3 linked regions of the Rhinolophus ferrumequinum genome follow. The protein of the gene in region 1 interacts with the protein of each later gene in a pairwise test. Links are inferred from orthologs where the notes say so. Each region holds a gene or a part of one and is shown in the gene's direction. Other genes may lie near its edges. The genes, in order: SDCBP, ABI2 and HOXA1.

Region 1 (8,050 bases):
AACTTCGATCTTCTATTAATAGCTTCTACTTCACCCCTCCGTGCCCCTAACCCCTCTCCTTTTCTCTTGTGGACTCTATCATGCCCAACTGGATAATCCAGAGCAATTGTCCAATCACAAAATACTTAACCTCATCACATCTGGAAAGTCCCTTTTATCATGTAAGGTGACATATTTACAGGTTTTGAGGATTAGGACATGGGCATATTTGCAGGGCCATTATTCAGCCTACTACACCTGGTAACTCACATGGCACTTCAAATTTAACAAATCCAAAACCAATCTTCTAATCTTCCCATCGCCTACATCTGCACATCTTAGTGTACCCCACATTAACAAGTGTGCCAATGTCCACCTACCTGCTCATGCCAGACACCTGGTACTTATTTTAGGAACTTCCCTGTATTTAATCCACATCACACCAACCATGAAGCCTTCCTGATTCTTTACCCTAATGTTGTTTGGATTTTTCTGATTTTCTCCATTTTCACTGTAGTAGTTTCCTAGACTGATCCACACATTCAATTCATCCTCCAAGCAGTAACTAGGGTAAGCATTTTAAATGTAAATCTAATCATGTTATTCTTTTCAGTAACTTCTGTAGAGCTCCGCCCATTTCTGTAGCTTTGTCTTAAGCCATTCCTTCTCCTTACTATTGTGTTCTGGCCAAAACGGCCTTTCAATTCTTGAAATGCATTAAGTTTCAAGTCAACCATAATGCTTTTGTGTTTGCTATTCTCTGCCTGAAACATTTCCTCCCTTTGTTACTTAGCTAATGCTTACTCTTCAACTTAAAAGCCTGTCTTCAAGGATGTCTTCCTTGAACTCCTGGACTAATTTTGGTTCCCTTGTGATATCTTTCCATAGTCCCCTGAACTTTTTCTTCAAACACCCATCACAACTGTATCTGTGCAATTATTATATTTTTAATTAATAGACTTTATTTTTTAAGAAGTTTTAGGTTTATGGAAAAATTGAGCAAATAGTGCAGTGAGTTCTCTTGTACTTCCATTTCCCTAAACACAGTTTACCCTATTCTTAACATCTTGAATTAATGTTGTACATTTGTTGCAATCGATGAACCAATATTGATACACTATTATTAACTGAAGTCCATAGTTTACATTAGGGTTCACTCTTGGTGTTATACGGTGTATTCAATCCCATCAACAATTATTTGACACCAACTGGGTGTTCTATAATTCAATTCAATTCTGGTACTAACAACCCAGAGTTAGCATCAGATACCACAAGTTATAGACAAGATGTCTAACAAGACAGCTTCCATTTTAGACAGGATCCTCAAAGTGGGGTCCTCATGTATCTGCACTTCTGTCCAACTGAACTACAAATTTATTCATTCCCACAGATTTTTTTCTCTGTTTTTGGTAGAAGCCCAGGTGTTCCAGCACCATTTGTTGAAAAGACTATCCTTTGTCCATCTTTGCTCCTTTGATCCAAAGATCCATTGGGTGAGTATTTGTGTGAACCTATTTCTGGCCTCTGTATTCTATTTCTTGTCTCTGCATTCTGTTTCATTCATCTGTTTGTCTAGTCTTTTGCTAATAACACATTGTCTTGATTACATAGCTTAATGATGTAGGGCACTATTAGGCCTGTGACTTGGTTCTCTTCTTCGATATTATGTTGGCTCTTCTGGGATTTTTGTTGATATAAAAAAAATAACTAGGATTTTGATTGAGTCTGTGTCAAATCTATCAAGTTGAGAAGAACTGACATCTTGACAACACTGAATCTTACTATCTATGAACATGGAATATACTTCCATTTACTTGGATCTTTTATTTCATCAGGATTTTATAGTTTTACTCATATAGATCTTGTATATATTTTGTTAGATTTATACCAAAGTATTTCACTTTTTTGCATTAATATAAATGATAGTTTCTTTAATTTCAAATTCTAATCATTCACTGCTAGTATACAAAAAGCAATAATAGTTTTATGTATATTAAACTTGTACCATGCAAACTTGCTGTACTTGTGTATTAATTTTAGGTTTTTTTGGGGAGAGGGCCCAATTCTTTGGGATTGTGTACATAATCATGCCACCTGCGAACAAAAATGGTTTTATTTCTTTTTTCCCAATCTAGCGTGTAATTATTTTTAAATGTCTATTTTATCAACTAGACCATAAATTCTCTGAGGGCAGTGTTCATCTTATTTACTTGTCATCTCTTTTCTGCTCAGATTTTTATTAGAATTACCAGTTTATTGTGGCACTAAATAACAGCTAGACAAAAAATGCTTCTACGTTAATGCTATTTCGTATTCTATGTTACTCCATGGTAACTATGGTAAACTTAGGTAACTTAGGAAAGGTGTGCCTCAGTTTCTTTGTATGCTAATGCAGATGTTAGCTATTTTATAGATTGATGTGAGGACCAAATAAGACTATATACATCAAGTTCTTAGGGCAGTGCCTGGAACATAGTTAGCCCTGAAGAAATACAGTTTTCAGTTTTTATATTAGGATACAGAAATTTTGTGCAGGACTACACAACCTTCAACAGCCAATGAACTTTAGTTCAGATAGACAAAGAGTAATAAAAGTCAAAGAAATAAGTTGTAACACAAAGAGGGCAGGAGCTGAAAAAGGTTGGTGGGAGGAATGTTTCTGAGCCTGTGGGTGAAGAGGTTAGTGACCACAGTGGTGAAGTCCAAAGCTGGGGTAGGAATCTCCAAAAGATAGGTTCTTCGGAGTTTCTTTGTGTCGGAAGGGATGGGTACCACGTGACCAAGCGCCACGAACACAGCAGTGAGCAGGTGGCACCGGGCCCTTGGGCAGGAACTACTGAGAGGGTGGAGAAGGTGGTGAGCATAACCGGTGTCAGCGTGGGCGGCTCCACATTCTTCAATCCCGCACCCGGCCCGGTCACCGTTACCACACCGCTGCCCTGTTACCATGGGGACGGGTCACCTGACTGGGCATCGCGCGCCTGCGCGGGTGGACGGCGGGGGTGGTTCCGTGACGCGACTCGAGGGCGGTCTTCGGGCGCCCGCCGCTTTCCTCCCTTCGGGTCTCGGAAGTCCGTGCCAGTGACCGGAGGCGGCGGTGGCAGGAGCTGGTTTCCGCGGCCTAGGTAAGCATCGCTGAGGAGGAAGAGGGACGCTCAGGCTGCGTCCGGGGCGCGGGGACAAGGAGCGGAGGCGTGGGGACCCTGGATCACTAAGCGGAGAACGTCTACGGGTTTCGGGAGGTGCCGGCGGCGACGTCCTCTCCTCGGTGGGTTCCGCACCCCCCCGTGCGCCCTCCCGGGCCCGGGGTGAAAGTTTGCCTGAGCGGCGCGCTGTGCCTGCCTGCGACCCTGCGGGTGTCGTGGTCCCTCCCGGGCCGGGGCTGGGGACAGAGCCCTGAGGCCGGGCCCGGGGCGCCGCCGTCAGCCCCCGCCTCAGCTCTGGGACTCTTTCTCATTCCGGTCCTTGTCAACCCTTTTTGTTCTTCTTGGGTGAGATCCTCAGAGACCCGTGAAGAACGAGCCCGCTGGCTATGCTTCATCGACCCTCGCATTCCATGGGGTTGTACTTAATCACCTTCCTTGGTGGCACAATCGGAACGTCCGGGATTTGGTAGGAGGAGGAGGTTGTTTGTTGAGTGGGCGAAGCCTTGACTTTCTGGAAGGGGGCGTGGGGGGGAGGGGATTGTTCTCCGGGCCTGTTTCTGGAGAAATTGAAGGAGAGGGAAAAACGTTTCCAGTAGGGTGTGTTCAGAAGGAAGTATCCCTTGAGATCTCGTGACTCAGAGCTTTCATTTCAGGATTTCCTGGTAATAATGGGAAAAGTGAAGGCATATGGACGTAAAGTTTTCCTTTTCACTAAAGTGGAATTACTTAATCATGGAGTTTTCTAATGTGCCATTTTTTGAAAGGAATTTCTAGATTCCTCTTTTCTGTATATGTTGTCTGCATGCACATTTACTGTTATGTTTTCCATTAGTAAGTCCATTACTCAGAGAGTACACTTGGTTTACTAAATTCTTAACATGAACTTGCTTCAAAGAAGAAAACAATCGATTAAAAAGGAAAATTACACTGCATGCTCTTAGCTTTATATCAAATATATATTAAGTGATTTAACTCAAATTCCTCCAGTCTTTAGTTTTTCTATTTGCAGTTGAGGGCAAACGGTAAAAAAATAAATAAATAAAAGAGTTTATTTTCTGTTACCAACTTACCAAAAAAGTCTGTTCTACAAACTTTTATGTTTTAAATGGTACATTGATACAAATGATAGATCCAATGGTTTGTGCCACAGAATAAAAATAAAGAAGTGAAATGTCTTCTAAAAGGTTCAGGAAGTAGTTACTATAATACTTTAATCTAAATATAACTTTGACAACATTAATTTTGAGTTATGTTTGTGCGTTATAAGAAAGGATATAAAAATCATGACCCAAAGAGGAAGAATTTACTAATAGTGGCATTCGAATGAAGTAGTCAATAAACACTTCCTTAAATTGAGCATGACTCAACTATTTTTTTCCTGTTTTGTGGGATCTTTCGAAAAAGAAAGATCCCTCAAAATACTTTTAAAAATAATTCCTACATCTAGTAATAGTTATATTAGCACTTACTAATTTCTTTCTAACTCCTGCAAACATTTTTTTGGTATATTTATATAGATTTTGAGGAAGTAACCAGTAACATGGTTCAAAATTTAAGCAGTAAAAAAGGTATATGGTATAGTCTTCCTTCCTTCTAGGTTCTCCAGCCAACTATATTCCCTTGTAATAGGAGCCAGCTGTTTTACATTTCTTAGGTATCCATCTTGGGGTATTTTATACCTATACAGACAAACATACGTATAAATATATTTCCATCCTTTTCTTTTTTCCACTCTTTTTGTTGAGGTAAAATACACATAGTGTAAAGTTTCCCATTTTAACCATTTTAACTGTACAGTTCAGTGGTATTAAGTACATAGACGTTGTGCAACCATCACCACTACCATCCATCCCCAGAACTCTCTTCATCTTTAAAATTGGAACTATACCCATTAAACAGTAACTCCCCATTCTTTCCTCCCCCTGGCTCCTGGCAATCACCATTCTACTTTGTGTCTTTATGATGTTGACTAAGTACCTCATATAAGTGGAATCATACATTATTTGTCTTTCTGTGATTGGCTTCTTTCACTGACTGTGATGTCCTCAAGGTTCATCCATGTTGTAGTATATTGCAGAATTTTCTTCCATTTTAAGGCTGAATAATATTCCATTGTATATACAAAGGGTGCCAAAAAATGTATACACATTTTAAGAAAGGAAAACTATTAAAATTGTAACACTCAATATATACCGGTAACAAAAGATGAATACAAGTCACGTTTGACTTCTGCAATTACAAGAAGTGCTCAAAGTGGTTACTGTCAGCGTCCAGACACTTCTGATTACGGCGGACTGCTGCTTGAGCAACATTTACCAAAGTGTCCACTTGTATACATTTTTTTGTCATCCCTGGTATATACCGCATTTTGCTTATCCATTCATCTGTCCATGGACACTTGAGTTGCTTCCACGTTTGAGCAATCATGAATAATGCTGCTATGAACGTAGGTGTACAAATAATATCTTCAGACCCAGTTTTCAATTGTTTTAGGTATATGCCCAGAAGTGGAATTGCTAGATCATATGGTAATTCTATTTTTAATTTTTTGAGGAACTGCCATACTGTTTTCTGTGGTGGCTATAGCCTTTTACATTCCCACCTAGAGTGCACAAGGGTTCTAGTTTCTCACCAGTACCTATTTTCTTTCTTTCTTTCTTTTTTTTTTTTTAACAGTAACTGTGGATATAAGGTGGTATCTCTTAGTTTTGATGTGCATTTCCATAATGATTGGCAATGTTGAGCATCTTTTTATGTGCTTATTATTATTGGCCATTCGTGTATTTTTGGAGGAATGTTTATTCATGTTTGACAATTTTGTTTTTGTTGTTGTTGCTGAATTTTGGGAGTTCTCTAAATATTCTGGATATTAATCCCTTATCAGATGTATGATTTGCAAATATTTTTTCTCATTCTGTGGTTTGCCTTTTTACTCTGTTGATAGTATCTTTTGTATCTTTGTTAGGAGATTGAAACTGATTCATTCTTTTTACAAGGTATAGGTCTATTCAGATTTTCTATTTTTTTGTGATTTAGTTTTGGTAGATTTTGTGTTTGTAGGTATTTGTCCATTTCATCTAGGTTACTTTTTGGTAATACAGTTCCTAGTACTCTCATAATTCTTTTTATTTCTGTAGAATCTGTGGTAAATTTTCCACTTTCATTTCTGGTTTTACTATTTCTAGTTTTCTCTTTTTATTTCTTAGTTCATGTAGCTAAAATAAATGTTTGCCATTTTGTTGATCTTTAAAAAAATTAACTTTAGTTTCATTGATTTTCTCTATTTTTTCTATTCTCTAGTTTATTTATCTTTGTTCTAATCTTTGATATTTCCTTCTGCTACCTTAGGGTTTTTTTTTGTTTTGTTTTTTTTTTGCACTTCCTTTTCTATTTCCTTAAGTTCCCCTCCTTTTAACACAAATGTTAGCATACTTGTACTGTTCTAAATCATGCTTTGTTTTTACAGTTAATGATAATATTTTGAACCTCTTTCAATATTATTGTATATAGAATTTTCTTCTTTGTTTTAGGTGTTTTGCTGTTACAGTTGATGCTTCAGTGAATGAACTTTTACATATATCACTTTTTATGTACAAATATATTTGTAGACTAAAGATCTGAAGTGGTGTTGCTGGGTTGGAGGGTATCGGCATGTAATCACTTTATTTACAATTTATAGAAATTGTACTAGTTTAATACTTCAGTAGTAATGTATGAGTGTTTCTCAAAGCCTTACTCTGAGGGTGTTGGTTGGGTTTTTGCCAGTCGAGTAGATATGAAGTGGAATCTTTTAGCTAAGAAGAAATTATTCTACTTAGAATAGACTTCATATGACCATATTTCTTAGAGGCTATCATCAGAATCTCCCTGGATATTTGTTAAAAAGAAGAGTCTCTAAGTTCTTCTATGAAATGCGTGTCAGACTGGGAACTATTTTTAACCAGTGCCCAGGTAATTCTGATCTGATCATTAGCCAAGTTTGAGAAACATCGCTCTGAAAGACTATTTAGGAGTTTATCAAAGTGTACACGTTCCTTGACCCTATGTATGAACCATCTGGAATGCTTATTAATCCTCAGTACACTATAAAAAACATGATCATCACTATTTACCATTGGAATCCAATGGATTTTTTTTATTTTTATATTTTAGGCCACTTTATGAATAATTTGCATGAGTGGAAGTAAAGGGATAATGAAAACATTTGATAATCACTTGACCATAAGAAACCCAGATTTTTGTTCTAAATTTTCCTGGTTTTGAAGTATATATAGCTGAAATGGGCAACATCTTTGAGTTAACTAATTGCTCAGCTGTCGTGCATTAATTTGGAACATATTTATCTTATAAATATTGTTCCAGATTTCAAATACATCTCTAATATATTGTAGCTTTTATTACTTTTGATTCTTTATGCACTTGGTTGTCAAAATAAGTTCTGAGTCTAAATTCAAATAAATTGCTAATAGTAGAACCGATAGCAATTTTTGTACTTGCATTGTCAAAATGCAGTGCTTTTGAAAACTTGAATGGCTCATTACATTATTCGGAGGATGACCATCTTCTACATTATATATTTGCAAGTAATTTTTATTCATACTCTTATAAACATCAAATACAATAATCAGTGCAATGAGTTTTTAAAAGTACCTCTACTGTTTCCTGCTAATCATCTTGTTTAAACACCTGCTTCATTTGGCCATGTACCACGCCAAGTAAATTTTGGTGTACAAATATAAAAGATCAAAGAAGATGGTGCTATCCTTTAAATAAAATAGCATCCAGGAACTTGTTTCAAAATATTGCATGATAAAGTCCTTCTGAATGACTGAGTGAAAAATCATATTTCTTTTATTACTGCTGTATTATTTAGCAATTGATTCTTTTAGTTTGAGGAACTTCAATTAAGATATTATTATGTGAAA
Region 2 (8,050 bases), on another chromosome or scaffold:
CTCATTTAAGGATAGAGTTACTAGCACGATATACATCAGGGGAATTCCACAGACAGTGCATCTTTATTTCAGCAGAAGAATTTGACACTTTCTCATCAGCCTTGTGACTAGGAATGTTGAAATGTTGGATAAGTGTAAGTCTAAGGCACATTCGCAACTGGCCAAATTTACTGTATTTTGATAATGGCTCCAAACAGCTACGTGAGCTTATAGGGGCGAGTCATCAGGCTCTCTTCTTGGCCTTGAGTTGTTCAACATTCTTATTCAAATTGGGGACGAAACGAAGGTTTAATTATTGTCACTAAATACAAAGAACTGCAATTAGATTAAAAAAACCGATTTGGCATGATTGGCTTAATATGTAAAAAAATGTAGGAGTTTTTAATGTTTTGAGTTAAGCTGATAAAATTACTTTAAAAATGTCATCTTGGGCTGCATTAATAAAAGTATTCTTTCTAATTTGGGGAGACTGGACTCTTGAAAAATAATGCATGTTCATTTTAGAAAATTAGGATGAGCAAAAAAAACCTCCACAATTCCACCACTCAGATAACATATAAACACACATGTACTTTTATAGATCTTGCGGTTTTTGCTTAAGTTATCTTGGTGGCAGCAGAAGTGTCTATGTCCTTGGGTCCTCAGATTCCGCTGAGCAAAACTTTTAGTGGAGATTCCCAGCTGCCAGAAATTAGAATCATAGATCTTCAGAGCCAGAGAGCAGTTTCATCTGCGTCACCTGGACACTTAGAAATATAAATTGGGCCAGACCATCTGAATCAGAAACTCTGGGGTTGGAACCCAGCAATCTGTGTTTTAACAAGCCCTTCAGGTAATTCCAATCCACACTGAAGTGTGAGAACTGACCCGAATTTAACCCTTTGATTTTTCAGATAAGGAAGCTAAGATCCAAAGAAGACAGTCACCAATTTATTGGAGAAAGTACTAGAATCTTCACACAGTGATTCCTGTGAGGAAGAATCATCCCTCAGGGAGATTTGTTTTTGGGGTAATTGCTAAGCAGGATTGAAAGATTGCTAAGTGTGAATAGTGTAATGGGGGAAGAGTGTCTACCATTTAACTCACCTGCTGGCCGCCTTACAGTTCAACAGTAGCCTTTTGATCCATTGAAGTTTATTCTGAAAGAAAGGTTTGCTTGATCTAATGTTTCATTCACTTGATTATTCATAAGTGTCTTATTCCCTGAAGCAAATTTATGTGCCATTTAAGTAACTATCCCATTCCATCACTACTGCTCTCTAAATGAATCTCTGGAGACGGACACTGTAGCTTTCATTTTTAACAAGCTCCCCACAACTGAAATTTGAGAACCACTAATACAGAAGATGTTTAAAGTGGTTAAGAATAAAACTAGTTGGACTGGATCAACATTTTCATTGTCTTTTAATTTGGGTTCCATGGTGGAAACTCAAAACAATTTGCTAATGTTCATCATAAAGCCAATACAACATTAACATCATAGATTCCTCCAGAAATTTGTAACGATATGGCATTAAAATGATTTTTTTTTGATACACAGAGGGTGCTAAAAAATGTATACACGTTTTAAGAAGGGAAAACTATTAAAATCCTAATAATAAATACCGATAACAAAAGATGAATAGAAGTTACATTTCACTTCTGCAATTACAAGAGGTGCTCAAAGTGGTTACAATCAGTATCCAGACACTTCTGATTGCAGCAAACTACTGCTTGAGCAACACTGACCAAAGTATCCACTTGTATACATTGTTTTTTGGCACCTCCCAGTAGTTTCCTTACCATCTGGGAAAAAATGAGGGAATTACTGTAGAGGGAACAAGAGATCACAAAAGCATGAACAAGAGTTAAAATAATGGATCCTGTTCTAAACTACAACTGTAGTCAACTTTGACTTTCCACAGGACAGATAAAGGTCTTGGACTTTATAATATCTCAGCAGTTGTCAAGAATTTTGGTTTTTTAGGATTACAACTCGTGGAGTAACTGGATTTGGGGAAAAAGATACAGCATCTGGTAAATAAGTACAGAATAACTGCAAGATCAAAATGGTCTACCTCGAATTTTTGTAGCGTTTAACGTTTTCTAAGGTGCTTTCACATAAACTTATTTTATCCATGTGATAGTACTGTAAGGAGTAAAACTAGTACTAGTAAAACCGTGTTCAAAACTTTACTGACCAAAAAAAACCCCACAAAACGAAGTTGACAGAACCAGAGAAATGACAGAAAAGGTTGTCAGTGAGGAAGAGAGTCATAAAGAGGGCAAGCACAAAAAGCTGTGGTCCAGTGGTGGGGCAAATGAGAACAGAACAGAGGCTAACCTGGCCGGGGACCACAGCGTTAGGGGGCAAATGCACAAAAAGTTAAAGTGCAGAAAATTTGGGACAACGAATTTGGAATTTGCCCCAAATAGGATGGATGAGGTCAAAAGATGAAGAGAAAAATGAAAAGTAAGGCAGCGCTTAAAGCTGCATGGAAGTTTTGTAGGCTGACATTATCCCTCAGGCCGATGACCAGGGCATTGGCCCCCAGAATGAGGATAACACCCAAGGGAATCGCGGAGGGCGCCGGCGAGAAGAAGGCGGGGCCAGTAGCGCGTTCACGCCGGACTAACAAAGGCCGCCGGGGGTACTTCCCCAGCTACTCAACCTGTGGGGGCCGAAGGGTTAACCGCGCGCCCGACTCCCGCGCGCATCCCGGCCCCCACTCCCGTCGTCGCTAGGAAACGCCGGAAGTGGGGGAGGGGCAGGCGGAGCGGCCGAGGGTGGGAATCTTTTTCAGGCGCCCGGGGGCGGAGAAAGGGGAGCGCGCGTGCGCGCGCCCGGCCGGCTGTCGCCGCGGTGACCGTCCTCGGAGTCCGTCGGCTCGCGCCCCGCCCCCGTTCCTGCTGCCCCCTCCCCTGTCGCGCGCGGGGGGTGTTTCTCGCTCCTCCCGAGTTGCCGCGGTCTCCTCCGCTCCTCCTCTCCCAGTCTTGGGTTTCCCTGGCGCTGTTGCCGCTGGTACCTCTGCGGTCTGTATGAGGAGGAGGAGGAGGAGGATGTGAAGATGGCGGAGCTGCAGATGCTGCTGGAGGAGGAAATCCCGGGGGGCCGCCGGGCCCTCTTCGACAGTTACACGAATCTGGAGCGGGTGGCCGATTACTGCGAGAACAACTACATCCAGGTGCGACGCATCTCCTGGCCCGAGCGCGCGGGGCCGCGGGGTGGTGAGTGGCGCGCGGGGGATCCCCGGGGCCGGGGACCGCGCGCCTGGGGGCGTAGGGCTGCGGGGCCGAGGCCGCGGCGGGGACACGGCCCAGCTGAGCCCGCGGTTTGGGGGAGGAGCAGGGTGGGAGCTGGGGCTGGTGAATGGGTGAGAATCCTCTGGCTGGATGAAATTCTAGCTTTAAAACATTTTAAAAAGCCATGAATCAGTCCTCGGTGCGGTGTTTGTGTGGTGTCCCTACCTCTTCACTTCTGCCCTCGGTCGCCCCCGCACTTTGTGCCATTCAATGTTCGGGATGGCGGAGGAGCCGGAGAGTGGCATTTTCTATTTGACAGAATCCTGCTCCCCTAAAAGGCAGGAGTGTGGGGCGATTGATGGGTCATCCTCTTCCCTCAAGCTTTGGAAAATATTTAAGGGACTGTGTTGCTGCAAAGTAAAGTGCTTCAGTTTTCTATTCATGTGAATACCCCAAGAGACCTTTTTTTTTTTTTTTTTTTGCTTGCTTGCTTGCGTTTTAGGTTCTAACCCTTGATACAGCAGAGCAGTTATCTCTCTGAAGTTACTGCTCTTTTCCTCCTTTGGAGAATGAGAAGCTGCATGATAAACTTCCCTCGCCCCATCCCATTAAAATAGGTAATTTATTTTCCTGTGGGAAGAAGAATTGTGACGATTTTTCAGAGAAAATTAGGAAACGATCCTCATGGTTTAATTTTTCCCCTGATGGTTGGTTTGGCACCGAGACTCATATGGTAGCGCTGCGTGTGTATGTGTGGAGGTGGGGGATACAGGGTGAGATGAGATTCAGCTGCTCCTGGATGAAGTAAAGACTCCGTGGATTTAACGACAACAAAAAAAATCCTTTAAAAATTATTTGAAAGAATAGGTTAAAACGCACAGTTTGCAAATTCAGCATCTTTTGTTTTTTTTTATGGCGGACTCTGAATCACATGTTTTCCCTTCCCATTTAAATCCTCTTGGGATAAAGGTGGAAATAGAAGAAGTATGTTAAATTGTTCCTTCACTATGGTCTTTTTTGTCCGGCTCCCATATCTCCAGGCATCCTCCTTAACATCAGCTATATTGGAAAGCATTCTCAAGTCTTAGTGTAAACTGAAAAAATAGGTGTTAAAATTTATAGTTTCATAAATTTTGTAAGAACCACGTGGTTAATCAGGGATGGTATTGTGAGGTTTTACTTGATTAGACATATACTGAACTCTATATTATCTTGTAGGGAATGTTTATATTGGAGAATGAACCAGTCGTGATCCAAGGCTTTTCTCTCCAAGGAGGCAGTTGAAAGTATGGCTAGTAGGAAAAGAAAGAATATGTCTTGGGTTAGAGATATAATCAAAAATACAGTTGTCCATATTTTTAGGGAGCGCTTCTGATACTGAGTAGGGTAGGAGAGATTCAAAGATTCAGTTGCTCAGTTTTCCACTAAATATATTCAAAAGCCTTCTGTGGCCTGGCCCTGTGTCAAGGGTTCTATGATGCACACCTAGTATCTACACAATTCCACAGTGCAGTTAGGAGGAGGGGCTGCTGGGAGAGCAGATGAATACCATATAATGTGTCGATTTATACTCTAATGGACTGCCTGCCAGTGGGAAGAAGGACTGAAGGAAGCTATGCTATCTCAGGGAATTCACATTCTCTAGGAGAGGCAAATCTAAAGGGTGGAAGTGGTAATTGCATTGCCTCATGCAGCATATTATTGCAAAGAGTTAAAGGTCAGTAGAGAAACAGGGTGGAAAAGTGATTGGCTTGCGCTTATTACTAGTAAGAAAAGAAACAGATTCGTCTCCCCTTGGAAGATAATTTTTATTGTAATTTCAAGGTATAGTTCCCCTTAGATTACAATTGTTACGTAAATGTGAAAGTACATGGGTTAATAAAGCTGACAGGTTCAAGGGATCAGTGATTGTCTTTTTACATATTTTTTACATTTTTTCCAGCTGAAAAGAGAATGTTACTGCCACCATTATGTGTCTTTCAGTGGGACTCAAAATTTAGTGTGGTGGCATTTTACAATTCAAAGTATGAATATTGATTAATAGAAATGGATTTGGATTTTAAAATATTTCTTCAATTTAGCATCTACAATAGATTTTACATTATTACCTCTTATATTATCATCTATTTTAGGATCTAGTGGGTATATTATTGATATTCTCTTCCCAGATGACAGTTCTTATATGATTTGTTTGTAGTAAAGTTGATAAATAGAACATGGTGATAGTGATTTGTGCTGACCCAGCTGCACATTTGGATATCTTTCCTTGTAACCCAAAGAACTGACTAGCTGGGGTTTTAATGCTACCTTTGACCCTGCAATTGCTGCCTTTGACCCTGCAATAGATGAAAGTTAATTGGTGGGATCGGTGACCAAATGGTCAATTTAGCTTTATTATAGCTTCATGCCATAACCACTACCTTAAGTTAACAAACCAAACACTCGTTTTATTTTGTGGAAATGTAATTTATGCTTGTAAAGCCGAAAAAGGACAAATCTGCTCATATGTAACAAAAGGTAAGGTTCTTTGCTTAGTGTTTATAAATAGCTGGTTTTATGCATAAGAATATCCAAAAATATAAGATAAATAAGAATACATGTGAATTATGTTGTGTGAAATTGAGCAAAGGAGGGCAAATGATTGCACAGTCCTTTTGAAAACAATTGTACTGTTTAAATTGTTTCTATCTTATAAAAATATCCTTCAGATACATTATTAGCATTACGAATAATTAGGTATTGCCTGTATGAACATGCACACAAAATCTACAAGTAGAGCAGAGCAGGGTTGTAAGTAGTAGTTTTCCAGGTTACTAATAGTAGTTTTCCAGTTAACATCAGAAATTTAAAAACCATCTTTGGTAAAACTTTAGATGATTTTTGTTTTATTACTTCAACCTCTAGAGAAAATGATAGTCAAAGTATTTTTTCTAAAATGTGATGATAAAAAGTTATAACTACAATTTGTTGATATTTACCCAATTGATTTTCTTTATTTTTTGCCTATAAAAAAGAACTTAGTAATTGTTAAGGATTTTTTAAAATAATTTTTAATTTTTCAATTACAGTTGACATACAATATTATATTAGTTTCAGGAGGAAAACATAGTGATTTGACATTTATATAACTTATGAAGTGATCACCCGGATAGATCTAGTACCCATCTGATACCATATATAGTTATTACAATATTATTGACTATATTCCCTATGCTATACTTTACATCACCATGACTAATGTGTACCTTTTAATCCCTTTACCCCCTTCGTCTATTACCCCAACCCCCTCCCATTTGGCAACCATCAAAATGTTCTCTATATTTGTTTCTGCTTTGTTCATTTTCTTTAGATTCCACATATAAGTGAAATCATATAGTATTTGTCTCTCTGTGACTTATTTCATTCTGCATAATACCCTCTAGATTCATCCATATTGTTGTAGAGGACAAGATTTCATTCTTTTTAATGGCTGAGTAATGTTCTGTTGTATATATGTACCATTTCTTTATCCATTCATCTATTGGCGGACACTTAGGTTGCTTTCATGTCTTGGCCACAGTATAAATAATGCTGCAATGAACATGGATAAATAAGTCTTTTTGTGTTAGTGTTTTGGGTTTCTTCAAATAATCAGAAGTGGGATTACTGGGTCCTTCTTTGTCTCTTGTTATAGCCTCTGATTTAAAGTCTATTTTATCTGGTATAAACATTGCTACCCCAGCTTTTTGATTGTTTGTGCCTATTTTCATGAAATATCTTTTCCATCCTGTTACTTTCAGTCTGTGTGTGTGTGTGTTTTTGTTTTGTTTTGTTTTTTGTTTTTATTGGGAAACAGCTATGGTCATTGGTTACATATTGCTTTCATGATACAGTGGCATAGTTGATTCTTTTAAGGAGGGCTTAGCTCACAGTGGCCCATGTGGGGATTGAACTGGCAACCTTGGTATTAGCAGCACCACACTCCAACCAACTGAGCCAACCGGTCACCCCTGTGTGTGTCTTCTGATCTGAAGAGAGTCTTTTGTAGGCAGCATATGTAAGGATCTTGTTTTCTTATCTATTCAGCCATTCTGCCTTTTGGAGAATTTAATCCACTTACACTTAAAGTAATTTTTGATAGACATGTAGTTATTTCCATTTTATTATTCATATTTTTTATCTTTTTTGGTTGGTAGTGATGAACTCCTTTAGCTTTTCCTTGTCTAGGAATCTCTTTATCTGTCCTTTGATTGTAAATTATAGCTTTGATGAGTAGAGTAATCTTGGTTGTAGGTCATTGCTTTTCATCACTTTGATTATTTTGTGTCAATCCCTTTTGGCCTGCAAAATTTTTGTTGAGAAAACAGCTGATAGTCTTATGGGAGTTCCCTTGTAGATAACTAACTGCTTGTCTGTTGCTACTTTTAAGATTCTCTCTTTGTCGGGAGGGGAGTTGACACTGTGTGAGGGATGTAAATGATAAATGTCGAGTAACTATTACATTGTTTTGTGCACCTGAAACTAAAAAAAAAAAAATTAAAAAAAAATGCTCTCTTTGTCATTAATCTTTGGCACTTCAATTATGATATGTCTCGTTGTGGGCTTTTTTGGGTTCATCTGTTTAGGACTCTGTGCTTCATGGGCTTGTATGACTATTTCCTCTGCCAGGTTAGAAAAGTTTTGCATCATCATTTATTTCTTCAAATAGTTTTTCAATTCCTTGCTGTCTCTTCTCCTCCTGGTTCCTCTATGATGTGAATGTTGGTATACTTGATGTTGTTCCAGAGGCCTCAGTTTTTAAATTTTTTTTGTGTGGTTCTGATTGAGTGTTTTCTGCTACATTATCTTC
Region 3 (8,050 bases), on another chromosome or scaffold:
TGCAGGAGATCATTTAAATAGTGGCCAAGCTCGCTTTCCACCCACTCTCCCCGGGCGTTTAAAGGGGCTTTAGCTCGAGTCGTAGGGCGCTGGCCTACTTGCCCAGAGGACCGAGGGTCTCCTACCCGGCAGAATGAGCCCCAGGATTTCGTGGGGGTGGGGAGCTACGGAAGCCTGCGGGCTCGCGGCCAGGGAGGCTGCCTTTGTGAGCAGCACCGGGAGAGCAGCGCTCAGGGCGGCCAGCCGGGGCGGAGCGGACTCAGCTGCGAGAGCCGGGCCTGCGGGGAGAGGGGAGCACTGCGCTGAGGCGGGTGGGTAGCCAGTTCAAGTGCCTGCCTCTGTGCCCGTTCAAGCTTGTGATCCCAAGAAATACACCCACCCCTGCTGGCCCTGAAAAGAGCCCGGGAGGGAGGAAGAGAGGAGAGAAGAGGTCGAGAACTAGCAGAGGAAGGACAGCGGTTGTGGCGGGGGTGGCTTTGCGGCGCGAGCCTTGCGGCCTAGGACGTCGCGTAAACCCCGGGCGGTGGAGGCCAACAAAGGGGCAGGTATAAGGCAGGGGGGAGAACATACCGACGAGCTTCGGCTCGGATTGCAGATCGTGCGCAATGCCAGCAAGGACCCCCTCATGTCCTGCCTCCATCCCCATAGTAGCCCCTTCTCTCGCCGTCACTGAAGGCCTTTGCGCTCCCAAGGAAGCCGCCTCCAGGAGGGCCGCCTTGCCTTTTCCCTTCTCCAGGATGAAGTTCCCCAAGTGCTGAAATTGGGTCAGGAGTGAGCTTTCCTGCCTGTGCTCCCTCTTAACCGTGATTGGGGATGGGTCAAAAGTCACAGGAAAATAACTTTCCAAAAAGAAATGTTTAGGGAAAATGTTTCTTTGCCACTGAGGGAATCCACAGTCAAATGTCTGCAAGAGTTTTCCCTCTTGGGAGGACACGTTTTGAGGGAACTTCTGTATATGGAGAACAGAACTCAGAATACAATCCTTAGATAAATTTCATCTGTCTAATTCCGATGTGGTAAACATGGTCAGAGTAAAATCTAGACTGCATTGGCTGCGAAGCTTCCTGGATGATCTCTGGATTTCTACCTAAGAATGCTTCAATTCTCGGTCTCTGTTTGGCCTTTTCTCTCCACAAGCCAAGGGTTGACATGAAACCTAATAGTAAACAGCAATTAACGACCCCGTCAGAATCTGGGTAGGATGAGGGTGATGGAGAACAGGACCCCTGGCCTAGAATGACACTCAGATTTGCACGTGTCTCTCTAGGGAAAGATCTGAAGGTTCACACAAGGAACTACACAGTTACAAAAAGGAGGAGGTGTTGTGGGGGAAGAAGAAAATGTCCCGTCCACCATCGGCCATCTGTTCACCGCCCCTCCCACCTGCCAGCCCCCATCCCCAATTCAGATACGCAGTAGAATGGGGTGGTGGTGAATAAAGGAAGCTCTATCAACTCCTAACATTCTCCCTCCAGAAAACGAGAAACGTTGCGCGGGGGGTGTGGGGTGGGAGTTGAGCGTACTTTGTGGGAGCTGTAGTCTCGCCCTTTGAGGGCTCAGCCGCAGCGCGCCGGCTCCTGGGTCTTGGGGAGCCGGCAGATGGCCTGCAGCGCATGGCCCGGCCCCCACGCTGGCCACGTCCGCTAGCGTCATCTTTCTCCCCCGCCTCCTAACCCTCAAAATCTAGCGGCCGAGCTGCTCCGGATCCCATAGGGCTCCCAAAGCAAAGCTGAGTGGGGAGGAGAAAGGGGCGGAGAGCCAGGAGAGAGGGAGGGCGGAGAGCCCAGCGGCCCCGGCCTTTTCCGGCGAGCTCAGCTCCGAGGGTTCGGCCAGCTCCCGGGCGTCAAATTACCGAAGCTCCTCACACCCATGCTAATAGTCCGTGGGGGAGGTGGGGTGGAGGTTAGAAGTTTCGGAGACCCTCCTTGGAGAAGGGAAGTTTCTTTCTTGTCCACGTCTCCTCCACGCCCTCCCAGCCAGCCCTCTGCGCACTTCCTTTCCATTCCGAGTCTGGAAAGCTGGTGGCCCATCCTTAACCGAAGCCACCATGCTCTGTGCTCCTCACTGCCCCAAGGCACCACAGCAGGGAATGTGCAGTGAAAGCTCCGGGGGAGCTTGGGCTGCTGTGCCGGCCCGGTTCCTACCCTTCCTGCTCGGCGCGCTCCGATCTCCGGCCCACTGATTCCCGACCCAGGAGAGCACGGAGCTCTCTTCCCTTCTCACCTCTTGCCAGTTCATCTTTCTGAGCGCGGTGGGGAGGGGGCGGAGACGAGAAAGGGATGCTTCCCAGCCCCCACCTCGGGGGGGGGGAGGGCGAACGGAGTCGGCGCGCGGAAGGCAAGCCTCTGCTCCCCTTCGCCCCAGAGCTCGGAATCTGCCCTAGCAGCCGCCGCAGCTGCTGCCGCTGCCTGGGGGGGCGACTGCGCGTCACCTAGACTGAGGAGCGCCGGGGATTTAAATGCCACTGAAACGGTGATCCATCACTGCGGGAGCCAGCAAACTTTCGCAGGAGGCTCCGCCATTGGCTGACATAGTCACGTGCCCCTCCCGTAGCGCCCTCCACCCTCCCGCCCCCCCCTTGCGCACTGTACATTCATATCATTTTTCTTCTCCGGCCCCATGGAGGAAGTGAGAAAGTTGGCACGGTCACCCAGGACTTCGCAGGACCCGGTTACTCAGTGACAGATGGACAATGCAAAAATGAGCTCCTTCCTGGAATACCCCATCCTCAGCGGTGGCGACTCGGGGACCTGCTCAGCGCGAGCCTACCCTTCCGACCATGGAATTACAACTTTCCAGTCGTGCGCGGTCAGTGCCAACAGCTGTGGCGGCGACGACCGCTTCCTAGTGGGCAGGGGGGTGCAGATCAGCCCGCCCCACCACCACCACCACCACCACCACCATCACCCTCAGACGGCCACCTACCAGACTCCCGGGAACCTGGGGGTGTCCTACTCCCACTCGAGTTGTGGTCCAAGCTACGGCGCGCAGAACTTCGGTGCGCCTTACAGCCCTTACGCGTTAAATCAGGAAGCAGAAGTAAGTGGTGGGTACCCCTCGTGCGCTCCCGCTGTTTACTCTGGAAATCTCTCATCTCCCATGGTCCAGCATCACCACCACCAGGGTTATGCCGGGGGCGCGGTGGGCTCGCCTCAGTACATTCACCACTCATATGGACAAGAGCACCAGAGCCTGGCCCTGGCCACGTATAATAACTCCTTGTCCCCTCTCCACGCCAGCCACCAAGAAGCCTGTCGCTCCCCTGCATCAGAGACGTCTCCAGCGCAGACCTTTGACTGGATGAAAGTCAAAAGAAACCCTCCCAAAACAGGTCAGTCTTGCCATTCCATGATGTCCCTTGATGATTGTGGAAGGAGTTTGTATGCTTAGTGTCCAAGGGATATATATATATATATACACACATATATACACATATATATATACACACACATATATACATATATATACACACATATATACATATATACATATACATATATGTGTGTATATATATGTGTATATATATATATATATATAATTTTAAGTTCTTGCTACACACCAGTGTTGTAGGACGTGGGGAGATTGCCCTGGTGTGTTGGGGCAAAGGACCGTCTGGGACTGTTGTGTTTTCAAAGGGGCTGAGGATTAGAGGTTCTGGAAGTAGGAAGTGGGAAGTTGTGTGTGCTGGGGGAATTCTGTTAATATCTATAGGCTCCATTAATCACGGGTCTGACCACGCTAATGGCTGACTTCAGATTAACACTTTACACCTCATTACTCACCCTCCCCAGACTGGTGTGTGTTGTGAAATTCTTGATCTCCCTTTTACCTGAATATTGTTCTGAAACTGTAGGGGATCTCATACTGATTGTAAAAATTGTACCTTTTTCTCTGGTCGCTTCCCACCCTGTCCCTAGGGAAAGTTGGAGAGTATGGCTACGTGGGTCAACCCAATGCGGTGCGCACCAACTTCACCACCAAGCAGCTCACCGAGCTGGAGAAAGAGTTCCACTTTAACAAGTACCTGACGCGCGCCCGCAGGGTGGAAATTGCCGCGTCCCTGCAGCTCAATGAGACCCAGGTGAAGATTTGGTTCCAGAATCGCCGAATGAAGCAGAAGAAACGAGAGAAGGAGGGCCTCTTGCCCATCTCTCCCGCCACCCCGCCGGGAAGCGAAGAGAAGGCCGAGGAATCCTCAGAGAAGTCCAGCTCCTCGCCCTGCGTTCCTTCCCCGGGGTCTTCTACCTCAGACACCCTGACTCCCTCCCACTGAGGTCGGCCCAGCCCCAGACTCCTCAGCCCAGGCTCTTCCTGGGCTGGGACTTCTTACCCAAAGCACATTCTTAGCTTATCTTCCTTTCCATTTGCAGTCTCTCTCTTTCTGATCCTATCTGGGGAGCTCCTGGGCAGGATAATGTGTTTCCAGAGAATTCTTCACTTGATCTGGGGGGTGGGGTGGGGTGGAGGATGTTAACTCCTTAATGCAGATTGGGTGCCAGCATCACTTTTCTGATGGCTCCTAACACCCCTCCCTACTTTTAGGCAATTTCCGCGGAACCTTCTGTTCCTTTCAGATGCCCTTTGGAAAAGTCTCCTTTGCCAGCAGAAACATGTCAGAGAAAGGCCTCTCATCTTTTATCTATTTGTATATTTACAGTTCTCTCCTACTTTGACCTCAAAGAATGATAGAGAGAAAGGAGAGAGTCCAGGAGCTCATGAAGAAGAGATGCACTATGAGTGTGTTTACACGATTTGTTTTTTAATTTAATTCAGTTTCATGTGTGTGAGTTTGCTGGTTGTAAATACTTTGTTCTGAGAGATTTATCTTTATACAGATTTTTTTAGAAATGTTTAGATTAAGTGACTAAAACAGGGTGGGCAAACTCTCAAAGCTGGTACAATTTTATATGTGATTCTAGGTTAAAGAATAAAAGGCATCATTTCAACTCAATCAGTTGCCTCAGAGGGTAGCCTCAATTTATTCTTTTAGAGAGTTAAGAAAGCCTGCAGAACACAAGGTTCAGAAACCTTGTTTCCTGTGCTTAAGTCTCCCTTCATCCCCACCCCTTTCTTGTTTCTCTGGCCACACCACTCTATTTCAACTCTGTGCTGGATTATTCAGAACCTAAAGGTATTATTCAAATGAGCTTCTTCTTTCTACAGTTATCTTAGCTGGAACTGGTGTATTTTCAGCTCAATTGTTAATGTGATGGATGGCACAATGAATGTATATTTTGTGTGATTCGTGAATAGTCTTTTGCATGTCGCACAATGTTTTGATGTCCCTGAAGTACCACACTGAGTTCTATCAGTTATCCTCTGTGAGCCTATGATATTCCCCATTTCCTGTACAATCATGAGCAGCTCTGAGATCCTGGAGTGATGTGATCCAGAGCAGAGTTTACGGGTCTTAAGATGTCTGTAATAAATACATTCAAGTTTCAGATATGCTTAAGCATCCGTGTATTTGGCTTGGTTACTATTTGTTGGTTCCTACAAAGTTGGCTCATTTCATGTGGGGAAGGGGAGACAGGTGGTGTGCATTTTCAAGGAGGTGGGACTTCCCTTGAAAAAAAAGTAAGCGCTTTCTAATACATAGGTGAAGCGTCCCCATGAGTGTAATTGCACCTGACCAATGTCAACAAGAGGTTGATTTTCTTTAAAATAGCAACAGCTCCTTTATTATAATCAAAGTTCATAATGGAAAAAATAGTGAAGAAATTTATGAAGCAGATCTATTTTTGAAACCAACATGGGTACTTCCTGGGTCAAGTGCTAACCTTTTCACCTCCAACTGAATGTTGACATATATATAAACAGAACTCCCTTCAAAAGCCAAACTCTTCAGTCAGTCTTTCCTCACATCAGTGAACCAAGAGCTAAGACATTCACATTTAATTAGATCCAGTATAAAGCTGTTTGAAGATGGGGCCCCATCCCATGCTTCTTCCTTGTTTCTGGATTATCAGTGTTTCAGTATATTCTACCCTTTAAATTGAGTGTGTTCTCTTTCAGTAAACCCTTGTATACCTCCTCCCATTGCTCCTGTCCATATCTATCCCATCCTGGCACCCTCTACATGCCTCCCCACCCCCGCCATCTCCTTTAGGTTACACATCTCTCATTCCCAGCATATTCAGCTTTGCTTTCATAGACATCATGGCTGTAATGGGTCCTCAAGTTCTAATTCCATACCACATAAGCCTGAAAAAAAGTTTTTATTTTCTTCTCTGGGCTCAACAGGTTTTTCCAGGTGAACTTGTGGAAATCACGCCGAAGTCCATTTCAATATTTGTGTCACTTATGACCAAAGCATGTGTTTGCTCTCAAACAGAATGTCAGCAAATCAAAGAGTTCCAAGTGGCTCGCCTAGATTCCTTAACACTTTTCCTTTCCTTTCACACATTTTTAGAGGCTTTAATTTTAGCCCCAAGGGTAGAGCAAAAATTTTACAGCATCACAACAAATACAGACATATGACTTCCTTCCTCTCCAAAGGGTGTTTTACAAAGGATGGGCTAACGGTAGGAGGAGGAAATCCTACAGAAACTCGAAATTTGCAGGCCCCTAGAACACCCATGAGATTTCCTGTACTTCCCTGTCAAAGGGGACAAGCCTGGACTTTGCAGGCACAGTTGCTGCGGCCATATCAAGGGCACCCGGTGCCCTCCCCTCGGCTCCTGGATTCTGGGGTTGCCTCTAAAAGACTCAAGTGGATGGAGAAGAACTTCAAAGTCGGCCAACTCTTTCTTTCATTTCCCCTCCCTGGCCTTATACAGTATCTTTTGTTTATTAGTGTAAGGCCACACAGCAAAACAGATGGCTGGCTTCCAAATACTTTAATGTGCTAAAGTGCCATTTGCATGCCACTGCCGAGATTTCAATATCCAAAAGCAGGGCCCGACGCGCTGGAATCCTGGAGATTCCAATCTTCAAGGTGGTGGTTTTAATGTAGCTCAGAGAGAAGAGAACGATAAATTATGGGTAAACATCTCAAGCCTTCTTTAGGTCATGAAATAAATCAGTTAATAAGCAATGCATTTAGGAAACATTAATATACCTTTCAACAAGAAAAACGTTTGTATCTTTTTAGTTGTCCCAATCGATTAAATCAAAGGCGCTTAACACATCCTAATTTCAAGGTCTCTCTTTTTCTGTTTTGGTCTCTGAGGAGCACAGTTAGCTCCTTGAGCAATGAGAGCAATGGGAAAACAGAAAATAACATTTTATTGATAAATTATAAAAAGACAACAGTCTCAATTAGGGATTTGGGATAAGTACAATATAAAATTACAGTTTTCAAATGCTTTTTCCTCACTTCCTTCACATTCATGGAAAGTACTCCCGAAATTCAGGGCATCCCCAAACTAGGCTGAGTTAAGATCTTGCTGTAGCTCTGAAGTCTGCTCTCGGCTTCACCTTTGAAAGTTTACTTTTGGAGGCTATTCAGATGCCGTGGTGTTTTCCTCTGAGGCAATCAGATTCAAACTGATCAATATTTACTCAGTCTGAAAGGGTTGTTGAAAAGGCTGCTAACAACAAACTGCTTAGCTGCTCACCCCTGTTTAATCTCAGGTTCACAGAAAGTTCAAGAAGAGATGAATGCAGTGATGGGTCACTTTAGAATGAGTCCCAGCGGTTTATCTGAGCTCTCTGCTAAAGGCAACAATTATAGTTCCATTCCTCTTTGGGAAAGCGGCAACTTTCCTATTATTCTTTTGCTAAACAGTGTTTACTAGAAAGTTAAAACACTTTCATCTCCCTTCCTGGCTCTTGTTTTGGGAGGGGGGAGAGGAGCTTCCAGCTGCCCTTCTCTTGCGTCCTCCTCCTGCTTTTTGCCCATCCTCTAGGTTTCCTTTGACTTAAAATAAATTACATTGAATATTTTAAAAAACGTTAAATTAGCCTGACAGAAAAGATCCGATTTATTTCAGATGCCACGAGCTATGAAATGAAGCTCTTTGGGCCATTAGAGTTTATCTTCTTTGCAAAAGTACAGGGCAAGATTGAATTGAAATCCATTTGCGTTTGAGTAATATCGACAATCAGA

What was found.
Region 2: the proteins of SDCBP (region 1) and ABI2 interact in binary tests that used the Homo sapiens proteins (3 or more experiments, as listed by UniProt). The link is inferred for Rhinolophus ferrumequinum from reciprocal best matches to the Homo sapiens genes SDCBP and ABI2.
Region 3: the proteins of SDCBP (region 1) and HOXA1 interact in binary tests that used the Homo sapiens proteins (3 or more experiments, as listed by UniProt). The two-hybrid records come from large-scale screens. The link is inferred for Rhinolophus ferrumequinum from reciprocal best matches to the Homo sapiens genes SDCBP and HOXA1.

The regions. Positions count from the first base shown.
Region 1 is NC_046297.1:20,114,502-20,122,551, reverse strand, and holds the start of SDCBP (syntenin-1), read left to right. Parts: upstream 1-2,964; 5' UTR 2,965-3,104; intron 3,105-3,227; exon of another isoform or gene 3,228-3,247; intron 3,248-8,050. UniProt on the Homo sapiens protein: Multifunctional adapter protein involved in diverse array of functions including trafficking of transmembrane proteins, neuro and immunomodulation, exosome biogenesis, and tumorigenesis.
Region 2 is NC_046291.1:28,614,497-28,622,546, reverse strand, and holds the start of ABI2 (abl interactor 2), read left to right. Parts: upstream 1-2,828; 5' UTR 2,829-3,047; coding exon 3,048-3,164; intron 3,165-8,050. UniProt on the Homo sapiens protein: Regulator of actin cytoskeleton dynamics underlying cell motility and adhesion. Functions as a component of the WAVE complex, which activates actin nucleating machinery Arp2/3 to drive lamellipodia formation.
Region 3 is NC_046303.1:14,537,352-14,545,401, forward strand, and holds HOXA1 (homeobox protein Hox-A1), read left to right. Parts: upstream 1-2,581; 5' UTR 2,582-2,685; coding exon 2,686-3,331; intron 3,332-3,917; coding exon 3,918-4,273; 3' UTR 4,274-5,434; downstream 5,435-8,050. UniProt on the Homo sapiens protein: Sequence-specific transcription factor. Regulates multiple developmental processes including brainstem, inner and outer ear, abducens nerve and cardiovascular development and morphogenesis as well as cognition and behavior.